Caenorhabditis elegans: one gene and its partner. The main gene of each other region encodes a partner of the protein of the gene in region 2 in a complex. Each region holds a gene or a part of one and is shown on either strand. Other genes may lie near its edges.

Evidence for each region. Proteins that work in one complex are often made in the same cells at the same time.
Region 1: dpy-26 (region 2) and smc-4 share a complex: the UniProt entries of both Caenorhabditis elegans proteins name them as parts of the condensin I complex.

What each region holds. Positions count from the first base shown.
Region 1 is NC_003281.10:4,585,600-4,593,507, reverse strand, and holds smc-4 (Structural maintenance of chromosomes protein 4), read right to left. Parts: upstream 6,008-7,908; 5' UTR 6,003-6,007; coding exon 5,853-6,002; intron 5,800-5,852; coding exon 5,734-5,799; intron 5,690-5,733; coding exon 5,375-5,689; intron 5,327-5,374; coding exon 5,153-5,326; intron 5,112-5,152; coding exon 4,819-5,111; intron 4,773-4,818; coding exon 4,028-4,772; intron 3,980-4,027; coding exon 3,722-3,979; intron 3,677-3,721; coding exon 3,242-3,676; intron 3,193-3,241; coding exon 2,985-3,192; intron 2,936-2,984; coding exon 2,430-2,935; intron 2,382-2,429; coding exon 1,863-2,381; intron 1,810-1,862; coding exon 1,586-1,809; intron 1,542-1,585; coding exon 1,003-1,541; intron 954-1,002; coding exon 862-953; intron 814-861; coding exon 688-813; 3' UTR 384-687; downstream 1-383. Other genes in the region: erh-2 (Enhancer of rudimentary homolog 2), read right to left, coding at 7-131, 176-275; F35G12.7 (Divalent-cation tolerance protein CutA), read left to right, coding at 6,273-6,349, 6,394-6,453, 6,502-6,589, 6,634-6,756; F35G12.5 (SPK domain-containing protein), read right to left, coding at 7,034-7,156, 7,204-7,299, 7,345-7,467, 7,518-7,643, 7,694-7,829, 7,877-7,908. UniProt on the Caenorhabditis elegans protein: Central component of the condensin I complex, a complex required for conversion of interphase chromatin into mitotic-like condense chromosomes. The condensin I complex introduces positive supercoils into relaxed DNA in the presence of type I topoisomerases.
Region 2 is NC_003282.8:12,445,336-12,453,305, reverse strand, and holds dpy-26 (Condensin complex subunit dpy-26), read left to right. Parts: upstream 1-1,970; 5' UTR 1,971-2,015; coding exon 2,016-2,057; intron 2,058-2,106; coding exon 2,107-2,449; intron 2,450-2,504; coding exon 2,505-3,484; intron 3,485-3,537; coding exon 3,538-4,259; intron 4,260-4,717; coding exon 4,718-5,335; intron 5,336-5,380; coding exon 5,381-5,474; intron 5,475-5,962; coding exon 5,963-6,031; intron 6,032-6,080; coding exon 6,081-6,185; intron 6,186-6,233; coding exon 6,234-6,749; intron 6,750-6,801; coding exon 6,802-7,104; 3' UTR 7,105-7,421; downstream 7,422-7,970. Other genes in the region: Transcription regulator spe-44, read left to right, coding at 1-33, 331-543, 591-1,021; C25G4.3 (Ribosome-binding factor A), read left to right, coding at 7,422-7,556. UniProt on the Caenorhabditis elegans protein: Required for both chromosome condensation and segregation and for X-chromosome dosage compensation depending on its binding partners.

The sequences.
Region 1 (7,908 bases), on a different chromosome or scaffold from region 2:
ACATACGCGATTGAAGATCATCATAGAAACATCGGAGAGCTTATCGAGAAACTCGTAGACTTGCGACACGTCGTATGTGACTGGAGCAGCTGATTTCTTGGAAAGGAAATCTTCAAACATCTTGCAAAGAGCTGAAAAATTCCATTAAACATAATAATTCTCACGGAATGGTTACCATCAAGAGCGTCAGTTACACTCTCATAATCTCCCCAAGTCCGTGAATCAAGACGTGGTGATGTTTGAATCAGAAGTACGGTATGTGAAGAAGTAGACATATCTGAAATTACATGCATAACACGAGTTACAGTGAAAATCCACAAAATAAATAGTGAAAATGGAAATCTGAATCAGATTAACCATGAGGGATATACTAGTCAACGCTTCACCGATAAACGTTCTTATTTCAAACGAAAAGACACATAGCTCAATTATATCATTAAATTACAGTTTGGAGCCGAAAAAAAAATACAACGCAAAATGGCTCAAACTTTGGCCCTCAAATTAAATATAATTGAGAATAAGAATAAATAAAAAGGAAAAGGGAGAGATTTCTTGAACAGGGAGAGGTTAAAGAATTGCACATGAGTATCATTTGCGCGAGTTTAAAATAATAATAAACGGAAGAGTCGAGGGATCAGAGAACTAATACCCGTCAAAACAAAAGAGGATAGAACTTTTTTGAATGAATTATTCCATATCATCATCGTCATCAACGATTGCCTTCTCCTTCTTTTTACTCGACGGTGTCAACGGTTTCATTGGAGATCGTTTTGGTGTACTTGCGGAATTTGAACGCTTTGAAGGTGGAGTAGTCTGAAAATGGGAAATAAAATGAGTCTCAAATTTTTTAATGAAACTAACCTCATCGGCCTCTATGTTTCGTGCCTTTCTCGGGCTACGAACATTCTGTGACGACGATCTTTCGACAAGGCGTGGAGCAGGATATTTCATTTCTAAAAATAAGTTGTTTCATTTTCATAATAAATACGCCATTGGTCTTACGATTTATACGAGATTCGGGTCGACTTGCTGACCGACTAGCCGGTCTTTCAGTTCCATCGCCACTTGTCGTTGCTTTGGATTGTGGTCTTGAAGTGACATCTCGGGTAGTTTGAATCAATTCTTTCCTGACACGTCCTTCAACGTTAACAATCTTTTCGGCCTTTGAAATCTCATTTGATGATGGGAAGTTCGGATATTGTTTTTCTTGTGCAATCATTTCCTTATTCTGCCGACTCATTGTCTCATTGAATCGTTGAGTTACTTCATCAGGAAGAGTACACGTGGCCTGCCCCAAACTGTCCGTAATTTGCTTCGCCATCTCACAAACTCTCAATGGATCAATGGCTACATTACGAGTACACCCATCAACTTTATAGATACCAACGAGACGATTGGCGAGTTCAAACATATTATTTCTCAAAGAAATAATAATAAACTGCGCGTTTTCAGTCTTTTGTCGGACGTATTGGGCAATAATCGAAACGTTACGATAGTCGAGAGCAGCATCGATTTCGTCCATAACGTAGAATGGAGTAGGTCTAAACGAGGGATTATAATAATTATTAAAGAAAGTATTTAGTACCTGAACATGTGGAGCGCAAAAATGAGAGCCAATGAGGACAATGTCTTCTCTCCACCCGAAAGGAATTGAATTTGCTTCCAAGCTTTCTTCGCTGGGCGAACCATAAAACTGATTCCTTGTCGGAATGGATCGTCTTTATCAATGTATTCCAATTTGGCATCTCCTCCGTCAGTTAGCATTTTGAAAACGGCAACCAAATGTTTTCCAATGAATTCGAATGCAGACTGAAATATTTTTTAAAAATTAATCAGAAACCTATCAACGTCTGATTTCTTACATGGAATTCTTCAAGTCGCATCTGCTTGATTCGTTGAAGTTCTTGATTATGTTTTCGATGTACTTCTGTGGCTATTGTCAACTTGATCACTTGTTCATTGTATTGCTTGACCTTATCAACATAAGCTTTAATCGATGAGATATCAACTTTAGCTTTCAATGCTTCCACTTGTTGTTCACACACTTTCAGCTTCATTTGCATTTCTTCAGCGTCTCGGCTCGAAATCTCGTTGATTTTCTCGTCGGACAGAAGCTCGACCGGTACCCGGTCCTCTCCGTCGACATTCTCATACGATTCAGTGTTTTCCAACACTTTCTGTCGCATTTCGAACTCGAGAGCGTACGCGGCGTCACTCATCACGCAGGCCATATGCTTCTTTTGTCGTTCAACTTCTTCTGGACTCTGATTTTCATCAACCACCGGCATTTTATCATCGATTTGCATTTCGAGATCTTCTGGCCGACTTGATTCGATGAGAAATTGGAATCGTGGGATTCGATTAACTTTCAAAGCAGCGAGCTGTAAAAAAAGAACATTTAATTTAATAGATTTTTATTAATAACAAACCTTCTTTTCAATATCCTCAACCTTTAATCGATCTGCCAACATACTTTCCTTCAACTCCTTTATTCCCTCACTGCACTTTTTCAATTCTCCCTCCAATTTCGTCTCTGCAGCTGACAATTCCGATTGTTTCTTCGTCATTTCCTCTCCTTTTGTCTGTAACTTCTTGATTTGCTTTTCAAAGCGCTCAACCGTTTCTTTCTTCGATTTCACTTCCTCATCATCGATTGCTTTCTCCATCAATTCTTCGCACTTTTTCTTCATCTTCTCAATGTCTTTATCGTGTCTGGAAATGTTCTCATCGCACTTTGCAATGTTTCTGCCCGAATTGGAAATATTTGCAGTTTCTTTGGCGATATCCTTCTCAAGTTTTTGACGTTTCTGAAGAGACTCTTTGGCTTCGTCTCGATGACATTGTACAAGTTCCTTGAAGATTCCGTCAAGCTTACTCTGAATTTCAGCTTGACGAGCTTTTACTTTCGCAGCTTCTTCGCCCAACTCATCTCGTTCTGAAATGAAATATATTACCCAAATCATGATGATATGACGGAAAATTACTTTTTTCGAGCTCCTCAACAATCTTCTGTTTATCTTCTAATGTCTTCGCATCCACCTTAACTTTCGCTGCTTCTTTTTCTTGATTTGCGATCGTTTTCTTGAGGGTTTCAATTGCTGGAGCTGCAGATTGAACTGAAGAAGTCACAATAGACAAACGATTACTCATTTCAGCGACTTTGCGACGTGCTTCGATTAGCTGTCCGTCCATCTAAAAATCGGTTTGTTATATTTTATATTTTTATCCTTTAATATCTTACTTCATGCTCTTGTCCTTTAAGTTCATCAGCTTCATCTCTCAATTTTCCAAGTTTTTCAGCTAAATCTCGTTCAGCGGCTTTATCTTCAGGTGTCACTTGTTTAGCCATCTTATTTTTATCCGTGAGAATGAGACCTTTCACTGTTTTTCCACCTCCTGTGAATGATCCAGATGGGTGAATCATAGAACCTTCTAGTGTGCACACGGTAACACCACGACAAGCGGGCATTCTATGCATTCGCTGAGCTTCCTGGGTAGAATCGCCCACAATTGCACTACGCACCATATCATAGAATGCTGGTTTAAGAACAGGATCACAATCAATCAGATCAATAAGACGAGGAGCAGGTAATGGGTTCGTCGGATTGGGAGCTAAATCTCTCTTATCACACTTAATTTTGTCCAATGGCTGAACAGTTTGTCGAGGTAATTTATTCTGAAAACCAATGTATTCCTAGAAAATGAGGGTTATAAAACTTACAGCAACTAAAAAATTGATGACATTTTTTGCATCTTCTTCTTTCCCTACAATAAGATAGTTGAGACGGGCCCCGAAATTTGTGCAAATCGCTCCCTCATATTTCGGATCAATGACACCGAGATCACCAAGACGACCGTGAAAACTTTTAATTCTTCCAGCTTCTTTTTCCTTCATTAAGGCTTGAATAACTTTATTCGAACTTGAGCAAGACGAGTTTTGCTGGCGAAGAGTTTCGAGACGATCACGCGTTTTTGCCAACTGTAAAATAGGATTTATTTAAATTTATCAGGCTTTTTGAAAACCTACATCTTGATTCTTCTGTCTTGCCGTATTTCGAAGAGTTGGCAATTCTGTACTCAGTTGTTTTAACTTATCATTCCAAGAATCAAATTCCGGCTTCAGCTTATCTAACTCATCCTTCTCTTTCGCATAACTTTCTTCTGAAGATTCTAATCGTTTCTTCAGTTCGATAAGCTTATCCGTTCCAGAATTCGCGAGCTTCTTTAAATCCTCGAAATCTTCCCGTGCAATCCTTGCTTCACCTCGAACTTTGTTAAATTCGTTGCTCTTCTGCGCCCAAGTCTCTTGAATCTTCTTTTGTTCTTCTTTTGGCGCTTCAGAGCGTTTTTCAAATTCATCAAGATTCTTGTCGGCTTCCTCGTTAGCTGTTTTCTCTATTTCAAGCAACTGTTCCACTTCTTCCTGACATTTTGCGATTTTTCTCTCCGCCTTTTCGGGTGCTGCTTCCAGATTTGATCGCTTTTTAACCTCTTTTTCCTTCTCAGCTTCCGCCTTTGAAATATTAGCTTGATGCCTTTTCAAAGCCTCCTTCCTGCGAGTCTCTTCAGTGCCCAAGTCGCTCAATTCCTTAGATAGACTATCAAAGTTTTTGTCGAGTTTCGAACGCTCTTCAATCATAACTTTCTGAGCTTCCTCAGATTGTTTGTATTCGTTTTTGTTGGTATCCAGCGTTTCAGCAATCGATTTCATTTCTTCTTTCATCTTGTCAAGTTCGGCTTGTTTTGGAGCAATTTTATCTAGGTATCGTTGCCTTAAAACGTTAAATGTTATTTTAACCTGGAATATTTCAGAACTACCGTCTTCTTTGCTCCAATTTCATATGAATCGTTGTAGCCTCGTTTTCTTTCATCAGAAACTCAATTGCAGCTCTAACTGGATTCTCCATAGCTACTTTGCTGTTTCTGGCGTGATCACGAGCGATTCTTTGTTGAGAAAGATCACAAGTAAGACGATTGACGCGTCGCTGGAATAATTTAACAAAGGGCTCGAGTCGGTTTGTTCCGATAATATCCTCCAAATATTCAACCATTCCAGTTTCACTTTTGGTGGTTTTCACTGGTTTCATCATTGCAATTTGTTCGACTTCTCCCTGAAAAAAATGTTTATTACCGGTTTTATTGTCACTTTTACCTGAAGAATTAGAAAACGATTATGCTCAATATCAATGTCAACGCGTCGTAGGCGTGCTTCAACTTCATTCTTCGTTGCCGGTCGACCATCGATAGCATATGAGCTTGAGTTATTTTGAAAAGCAGTTCTAGAGATTGTGAACTCAGAATCCTTGACGACTTCGTAATGCCCAGGCTGAAAAAAAGCAAATTTATATTTTATTAGATTCTCTGATTCACTTACAATATCGACGATCCGCTGAAAATGAATAGTGACTGTGCATTTGTCTGGATTTCTTCCAGCACTTTTGTGAATCAAATTTGACACTTTTGCAGAACGAATTTTGGAAGCACGGAAACCGAAAACGAATAAGAGCGAATCGATTAAATTAGACTTTCCAGATCCATTTGGACCGATAATTGATGTGAAACTTTTGTGAAATGGTCCAATGGAAGCCTTGCCGAAGTAACTCTTGAAATTGTCCACTTCAACATTGCGAATCATCAAACGATCCGCCCGATTCGGTTTTGTAAGGAAATCGGGTCGCGATGGCAGTTGCTGTAAAATGTAATGACTTTAATATTAAAAACAGAGTAACATACCAATGAGAAAAGATCACTGTCGTCGTCCTCTCCGTCGCTTCCATCAAATTTTTCATTTACCGCTCTCTGAATAAAAATTTCAGTTTTATTGCTGCTTTTAAATATTCTGAGAGGGATACCTGTAGTTCTTCTTCCGGGTCCTTTGATCCTTCCTTGTGTCGGTTCACAGGCTTCGTTGTCTTTTTCTGCGGCTTTTTAACAGGAGCGTCATCAAAATCAGAATCAGATTCGTCTGATTGTGGCGGCGCCGCCGAAGTCTTCGGAGGCATCAACCCTAAAATACGTTGATTTTTAGGATTTGAGTGCTTAATATGAAAAAGACATTTCCCAACAAAAACAAAAAGTGGGACAGCAGCGGCTAAACAATTATTGGCGGTGAAATTCGAACAAAATTTTGGCGCGCATACAAGTGTGTGCAAACACCGTGACGCGCAAGTGCGACCCATACATTTAATTATACGACGAGAGCTAGAATGAAGTACGGTAATTAATTAAACATTTCTGAATTGCTTCAACATAAAATAAGTTTTCAAATAAAAATGACAACACCCGCTGTAAAAATGGTTGTCGCGTATGTGACAGCTCCGAGTAAGGAAGTTGCAATGACTGTGGCAAGGTATTTTTTTGTTTTCTGTCTACCAAAACATAATTTCATTTCAGAACAACTGTCACTGAAGCATTAGCCGCTTGCGCCAATGTTATTCCGGAAGTCACATCTGTGTAAGTATTTTATCTTTTTTAAATCTGTGCGAGAATCCAGATATTCAGATACAAATGGCAAGGAAAAATTGAAGAAGATCAAGAGCATGTCGTGATCTTGAAAACTGTAGAAAGCAAAGTCGAAGAGCTATCAGCTGTATGTTTTTATTTCGGATCACTAAGATTTTCATTCAATTTCAGCGTGTTCGATCTCTTCATCCGGCTGAAACTCCGTGCTTCTTCACACTGGCCATTGACAAAATAACTCCCGATTTTGGAGGATGGATTGTGGATTCTACGAATTCTTCAACTGCGAAACATTGAAACTTAAAACTTTATTCATATTTATTTCTACCAACTAAACATTAAATCAACGGGAACTGATAAATACATACAAACAGATTTGGCTAAGGAAAAAAACATCGTAATAAGAAAAAATGCTCCGAAAATTTGAAGATTCCAAAATAACGATTTGAGCATGCTTTTTTGGGGATTGTCTTGAAAGCTTCAAATTTTTTTTTCGAGCGATTCTGATGTGATTTAATGAATTTTTTTCAAAGAGATCGAGTTGAACGGGAAAGACAGGGCTATCATTAACTAGCTAGCGAGCATCACTTCGAACTCCAACAGCTTTGTCTACAATGTTAAGCGAGAAGACCATCGGGACAGCAATCTTGTATGCATGGCGTTTGTATGTATGATAATCATATTCCGTCCAAAATAACTGAAAAACATTGAAATGTTTTCTCATATATGTTCAATCATTCTTACTTTTTGCTCCTGAATAATTATCTCAAAGATCCTATCCATGCTTTTCTTTTCGTTATTGTATTGTGTCTCCCATCCCGGAAAGTCTTCACACATGAACTGAAAATTCGAAGTTGAAAAGAAATCCACTAAAAAAACTCTCACTTTGTGGATGCTGTATGTAGATTCTGAAGCGGACTTTGAACTAACATATTGATAGATCATAGAAAACTCACAGTCTCCAATTTCATGGAAACCGAGAAATTTAATTACTTGGTTGACCTTCACCTTAAAAATATTGATTTACTTTCTTGACCAATCAAAATATAATAGCTTACTCTGTTCATATTCTCAGAATCCGAGGGCATTATCAAGTTGAACTTCACGTAAAGGCTCTCTTCATTCAACAGCGACAAGAGTGTAAATGAATGATGGTTCTGTATCCAGGACCTTGGGATCACTTTCTAAACGTACTAAATTTCTCCCTTGTTTAACAATAAGATTAAATTATTACCTGAACCTCTTCCTCAAAATCAGTGTAATTAAACCCATCTGGATTTTTCTGATCAAGTTTCTGCAGCACGTACATGGTTTGCGGAAAAAATCTCAAATTTTTTGCCCACCAAATTTCAGCGAGTCGTCTTGCTTCCCTACAGAAAACCGAATAATAAAATGCATAAGGTGCTTGATAAAATACTTTTTCAAACTAGCATCTGTTGAAGGTTTCGT
Region 2 (7,970 bases):
GAAAAGAGGCGGATAATGATGATAATAGAAAGAGTACGACCGATAATTCTACAAAAGGATCTAGTTTTGACATGTTCTCTCAATATTTTTCATTAAAATTTAGGAATAATATTTGTTATGTCTAAAAATAACTTATATTTTAGTTGGAACAATCGGAAAAGTGCTCAAATATTGTCTCAAAGTTTGAGATTTGTGAGCATCTTTTCAACTATTCCAACTTAAATATAAGTTTTTTCAGATAAAGGAAACATTATTCTATATTGCTAGAACATTCTAAAACTAGCTCCTTTTGTATAACTACCAGTATTCTGGAAACATATCATTTTTCAGGCGCCAAAAAAGCTCGTGGACGTCCACGTGGAAGTGTCAACAAGCCCAGACAAATGGTCAAAATGGAGCCACAAGACGATCGTTTCTTCGAGGAGTTCTTCATTGATGCGCCACCACTGCAATCAATGTCATCTAATGAAGAGCCAACTTCTTCAAATAAGGAATCCAATGAGTGCACGCCATTCAATGATATTCTCAATTGTCTGCAGAACGGTAAGCTATTTGACATAACATTTATCACTAATTTATTTTTATTTCAGATCCTATGAATTTCTGGTCTCAAATGCAACAAACCGGTGTTATCGGTCATTTCTGCGACGACATCATTGTCAGTGCAATCAATCTGAAACAATCCGTTATGGATAATCCTGTCACTCCCACCACTGCCAACATGCTCACTCGTACTGCATTCGCTCTCGGAATTCCACCTGTCGTTGTTCATCGTGTTCAATCGATTGAACGAAACGCTTACCAACAGCGGAAACATGACGAAATGTTTAACGATATTCAATCAACTTTGGCCGAGGAGCACAGTGTCAAATATCAGCCGAGAACATCATCTTCAAGTCAAGAGAGTCTTCACACTGCTCGAGAATTTACAGAAGAGAAGGTTGAGGAACTTATTGATGTTTGCAAGTACGACGATTATCCAGAATCTGAATGTCTTCCAGGACCTAGTCATATTCAATAATTAAACAATTACGGATTTAATCCACAAACGCACAAATAGTGTGTGCATTTTTTCGTATGTATTTTAGAACTTCATGTTTTATAGAATATAATTAAATTCTGATCCAGTGGAATAGCCCACTGCTTACTTGTGAGCTTTCCCCCCTCAACATACCGGTGAAAATTGTTTGTAGTTCTTCTAGAATGTTTCATGCCTTTATAATGAAATCGTGTTCATTTGAAATTTCTATTCATGTTTTACAAACTCTTACTCGTCACAACGTAATACTGGAATATCTTTTAATTTATGTTTATTTTTTTTATATTCAATTTTCAACCTCATTCTTTTGGAATTAAGACGCCTTCATCAACAACATTATTGATTGCGTCGACTTGATTCCAAAAAATGAGTTTCACACGAATACTCATCAAAGTGTCATGGCAACAAAGAGATAGAGACGAAAATATATCATTGAGCAAACAACAAGCTTTCAGAAGGGCACAATCGGTTTTCAGATGAATAGAATTTGTGCTAATCATCTGCTAGCGGATTTTGTTCTTGAGAGAGATAATACTCCGCTCATAAGTAAACAATTGAGAATTAAATTCGCACAAAAGCATAAATCTTCATTCGCGAATATTTTTATTACTGTAGGGTCTCGCCACGAACAGATATTTTCTGTATGTGTCCCTTTAATTGAACTGTAGCTTTATCGATCGGTCGAAGGCATCAGAAAAACTTTCTTTTTAAATATATATTTACTTCATAACAATTTCAATCAATTTGTGAATTTTTTACATTCTCTTTGGATTCTCAGTGTGCGAACTGCCTCGTTCCCGCGTTGACAACGAGAGACAAGAGTCGCAGACGACTAAACATCATTACGAAACTCCGGTCTCCCTTCGACCCTTTGTTTAGCAACGAGGACTTTTGAATTGAATTGTGCTTCTTGTTTGAATATATTTTATTTTCTCCTGCTTTCTATTATCTAAAATTGTGTTTTAATTACAGGGAAATGGATGTACCATCATCCAGCAACGTCACTGGACGCAGAAAAGTAAAAAAAGAAGAATGTTCTGCTTCTACCAAAAACGTAATGTTTTCAGAGACAAGTTCTAGATGATGACGAAGATGATGGCTTCAGATCTACCCCATTGCGTAAAGTTCGAGGAACTAAAAAAATTAGGCCAGCGGATGTGGTGCCAGAAACAATTATGACAAAAATTGGCGCCCATATCGACGATATTGTGAATAAGAAAAAAGTTGGAGAGCTCAACTGTTTCGAATATAAATCGCCGCTTGAAATTCATACAATCGAAGATATGATCAAAGCAAAAGCTTCAATCCAAGAGATGGCAGTTGTGCTCGAAGGAGCTCAGTGCATTATTGGTTATCGAGTCGATCGGCTTCACCACGACGTTCGACAAATTGATTCAGCTCTCTCGAGTGGTAATTACATTTTTTTTTTAATATTCTTGGAATTTATCGTTTCTTTTTATTACAGGAACTGTTATGCGAGATTCAAATGGTGAAGAAATTCATTTAACACTGGAAAGCAGAAAAGCTAAAAAGAAAATGGCTGTTGTTGACGGAATGAATGGAATGCTCGATTTTCTCAATAATATGGATGATGCTCTGACAACCACCGAACTTGACGCAGACAATGATAAGAATTGGAAAGAAGATGAGGAAAATATTGCCGGAGAGCCACGAATTGATTTCAAAGCCAATTCCAAAGATGTTGACGCATTTCTTCAAAGAGACATTTTCCCCGAAAAACTCATTTATGCATTGTCAATCAAACGAGCAACTGATCTCAGAGCTGACCTTCTCTCTGATGTTTCCAATTACATAAGTGCTGATGATACGGCTCATGATCTGAAAGACGCAAATATCGATTGGCTGAGAGCTAACCCGACATTTCAAAAGGCAACGAAAGGATCCGTGTGCAATTCATCAAACTCGTTCCATTCTCTTAATTATTATGGAATTCATTCTCCCGATGGACGAACTCTTATGTTGCATAATCGAATTGCCGATAAGAATGCTGATGATCGGTTTTTCACGTCCGATGTGTCTGTCTCACTTGTAAAAAATACACGAGCTCTCCTCACCAATTCATTAGACAAAAAGCCACGAATTCTCGACAACTACTTGATGCTCGAAGTCAAAGATCGCCCAGTTATTGGGAGATACAAAATAATGTCAAAGGATGTGAAGAAGTCAACGCTACCATTGGCGGAATCGTCTCGTGAGAAAGATCTCGCCAACTTGACATTCGCAGAGATGAATCATCGGCCTTCAAATCTGGATATGACGGTGGCAGGAGCATCGGATATGTCAATGCTTCCAGGAAATCAAGGATTACCACTCGCCCAGGGAGAAAACGATGAGACGATCGCTCTAGATAGGCTTACACCTCCTCTTCAGTCGTCTGTGTCACAGAAAGCGAGTGACGAATATGTTCTTCCACCTCTTGAAGCTGTAAGTTTTTTTGCGCGCCTCTGAATACATTTATGATATAAATTATTTTCCAGAATGATCTCGATGAGCATCTCATTGGAAAACTGCCAATTGAGCCGAATGAAATGGATCAAACATTAGCCAACATGTTTGATAAGAAGCTGGAAGTGTTCAACACATCTGATACACTTGAATCAAAAGTCTGGAAAAATGGAATACGTGCAGAAGAATGGGGTGAAGATGATGAGGCAATTATGAAGAATGACACGAAACATCCACGTCAGGCTGGAATCGAAGGTTGGATTAAGGCAACTGATGCATGGACCAACTATGATGTTGTAAAAATGAATGTAAATCGAGAAGCTCGTTCTCAATTGGATGAAAATGCGATTGACGAGCAAGAATCGTATAGAAATATGGTTCCGGAAATTGGAAAGAATTTGTTCTTGGTGAAATCGGATGATTATATGAATAACTATCCTGGAGATCGTCCAGCAGACTTCACAGTGAATGATGAAGTGTCTGATGTGATGAAAATGTGGTCTGGTGAGGATAGTACAGCTGAAGATGATGTTCCGTTAGAACAAATTCAACAAGAAATACGGGAACAAGTGCAACAACAAGATGTTGATATGGAGCCTATTGAGGAAATGGATTACGATGCCGGCGGTGCTGCTTTTGATGTAGACTTTGATGATCGACTTGCAGCTCCGGTTGAAGTTGAGGAAATGGAAGGAGATAATAATAGAAATGATGGAAGGGTGGCTGATATTCTTTTTAATGAGCAGATGGATGAGTAAGTTTCAATTTTGAATTGAAAGTTGATTCTGTTCGGTTTTTTGTTGCCTATAATGACAGAAGAACGTTTCAATATAGCAAAAAAAACCGTTATTCATTTAATGTAGATAAATGCAAAAATTTATTTTTATCCATTCTCACCTATTCATGAGTGTCGAAAAATGCAAAAAAATACAAAAACTAGACGAATAGGGGGGAAAATGTATAAAAATACATTTTTTAAAAAATTTTCTACATCACATGAGTAATGAATAACCACAACTATTTTGAGATTTCTTCAACAATTTTGCAAAAAAAGTTAAATCTTTTCTGAATTCCCGCGCTTCCCCTATTTTCGACATTTTGAGTTTCCGGCAATATTAATTGGATACTCTTTGCTTTTTTATAATTTTACCTTTGAAAAACGCTAGATTCAACATTTTTGAAAAGACTATCCACATTTTTTTTCAATTTCAGAACTGAAGTAGAAGAACGAAATGAGCAAGATGTTCAACGGGAGCTTGAGGACATTGCACTTGCAGCCGATGAAGTTGCAGAGTTGATGACTTCTGCACCACCGCCACAACTTGTTGGACCATCTGCAGAAATGCGTGAAGAGATTCAAAATATCGGAAAGAACGACAATGCTCATTGGGTTCCACCAGTCGTTGGTGATCAAGAGAGACAAGCAGCGGTTACAGCACAACGGAAACGGCGAGAAAAGAAAGCGAAGAGCAGAAAAGCCACTGTCGAAGATTTCGTTCATTACTTCCGTGACATTCCTGATGACGAGATTGAACGAGAAATTACTGCTGCAAAATGCTCTAAAATTGCTGATGAGAAGAGCACTTTCCTTTCGGAACAACAGTTATATCTTCCAACTTTGGGAATTGAAAACAAGCCGCATGTCGCTTTTGAAATGGGTCTTCTCGGTAACAGCGGGATGTTCTTCAAGAAATCATATGGGAAAATACGACTCGAACGTGTCAAAAATCAAAAGGCTGAGCAAGATTTGTTCATTGATGAAGCCAGAGGAAACAAGGATTCGGATTGTCTCAATTGGCTACTTTCATTCAGTGGATTCAGGTGCATGGAGTGAGTGTCTAGGATTAAATATATATAAAATTGTTAATTTTTCAGAAATCCGGAGCCTATCACTGGCTCTGACTCGGACGAGAATCTACGAACTGCCGTAGAGCAACCGTTTGATGACGATTTTGCCAACGATTATTACGTACGTTTCTGTTAAGACCTGCCGGTTTTCCTGTCGGTTTTCTGAATAATCGAGAATCGAAAAATTTTCGTTGTTGATTTTTCCAGTTAAAAAAAGCTCGTTCAAAAGTCCAAAAGTTTTCGACGATCGATACCGTTAAATAGCTCAGACGCGAAATGTTGCGACTTTAGAACAAAAAATACAGTACCCGGTCTCGACACGACAATTTTTTATAATGAAGCCGAGTGTGCGCCTTTAAAGAGTACTGTAGTTTTAGACTATCGTTGATGCGATGTTTTCGGTGATTTTTCTATAAAACAGATTTTTTAATTAAAAATTGAAATAAAGCACGAGAAAACAATTCCTTTTTAGTGTATTTACAGATTTTAATAAATAAATTTTATTTATTGAAAAATCAACAAAAATTTTGCAAAAAATGCGTCTTTTCGAGACCTTGATACCGTATTTTCGGAGAGAAAACTACAAAATAATTCGGCATCTAATTACAGGACGAAGACAGATACGATCCAAACTATGAACAACAACTCGCTGCTGCACAAATGGGTCCGGATATGCAGGTAAAATTAAGACGGAATATTTTTTCCAGTGCTCATTGAACATTTTCAGAGGAAACTAGCCTTGACCGCAAGTCACATTAATCAAATGTTCCCGAATATCCATTCCAAACGATACGGTGGTGAATACGGAGATTCAGATGATGAATTTGACGATGTAAGTTTAACAAAAAATTTATATTAAAAAAGTTTGTATAATTTTCAGTCATTCGATCGCCAGTCGATCCAGGCAAAGAATCTTGACGCCGCCAAGCACAAGAAGTGTCTCGCTGAAATTCTGAAGACTGATAGTCTATCGATGCCTTCAATTCAATATGTTCTGGAGCAGTTGACATCTAATCAGACTCTACGAATGAATAATACAACTATCCGAGCTGCCGATGATCGTAATGAAACCGGAAGACCTGCAACACCGACAATGGAGGCCGACAAAACGTTGACGTCAGTGTTTGACTATAGATCACCGAACAAATCGAATCACGATGTGAACGAAACGATGAAGGCACTAACAGAGATGCCAGATTATCAAGCAGCAGATGAGCGTCCCAATAATCAACCAACTACATCTACATATGGAACTGCTAACACTGAAAATAGAAAAGTGCATATAAATGGATGCCATACACTTCTTTCGTTGGCACTTTCAATGCCTTCCAGAATGGGAGAGACTGTTAGGCCCTCGTCTATCGTCAGCTTCCTATTGCATATTGCCAATGAAAATGTATGTTTAGTTTTTTTGAGTTTATTTTTTCAAACTCATTCTAAATTTTCAGAACTTGCAAATTGTTCAAGATCGATCAAAGCGATCCTGGATGTCTGATTTCATTGTTCTCAATTCAAGTGAAAGCCTACCACGTGGTCTGAAAATGGGAAGAATCGAGGATCAAGACGAGTTCTGGAAACGAACTCAAGATCCGGACGCCATCGAGGGTACGGCTAGCGATGCGAATAATGTGTTCTCGAATTTGATGCGACGTCCGAAGGCAGTACCAGTTCGTAAAGGTCGTGGAGCAGGTGGTCAACCTACAACAAGTGATCTCGGAGCAATCGTAGAAGAAGAAGAAATGGAAGAATAAGCATACTTTATTAAATTTCTCCATAAAAAATCATTTATTTTCGGTATCAAAATTGAATCTCAGAATCCACCCAATTCGATGTATTTATTCATTTTATCTCTCATTTCTCGAAACTCGAAGTTTCTTTATTTATTTTTCTCTCTCTGAATTGAGTACCCCGACACCAAAAATTTTAAGTTTTCTGTCAAATCACTCTTTACAATGAATATTCAATATGATATTCGAGCCATAAAACTTGTAGAATTCTAGGGATACAAAGACCCTTTCTGATTCTTCCGAAAAAGCATTCACTGATTCCATAAAAATTACGAATTCAGATGTATAGAAACGGGATCCGATGGATTACCACTAGCACGGCGGCTCTGAAGGGACCCAGAAATTATGTGAATCGAAAAACGGGACGTGGATGTGGAAATTCGGTTCTTTCAAGATTCGAGTGGAGATATGATAAGGTTCTTTGGAAATTAGATTGAAAAATATAAATTCAACTTTCGTTTATTACCCAGGCGCGAAATTTTGCGATTTTCGCGCAAAAAATACAGTACCCGGTCTCGAAACGACAATTTTTGTCTAAATGCGAAAGGGTCTGCGCCTTTAAAGGGTACCGTAACCGCGAGCTCAACGAAATGAGAGAAAAACTTTAGAAAATCAATGATAAATAAATTGAAAACATTTTTGATTTTTCGGGAAAAAAATTAGAAATCGAAAATTAATTTTTTGTCAATTTAAATTAACAAAAAATGTCAACATTTTTATCAAATTTTGTGTTTTTTTTTGAGAAAAATTACAAGAAACCGTTAAGTTTTCTTCTATAACGAAAAAGATTTTAAAATGTAGGCTGCTTTTTCGGAATTCAATTTTTTTCG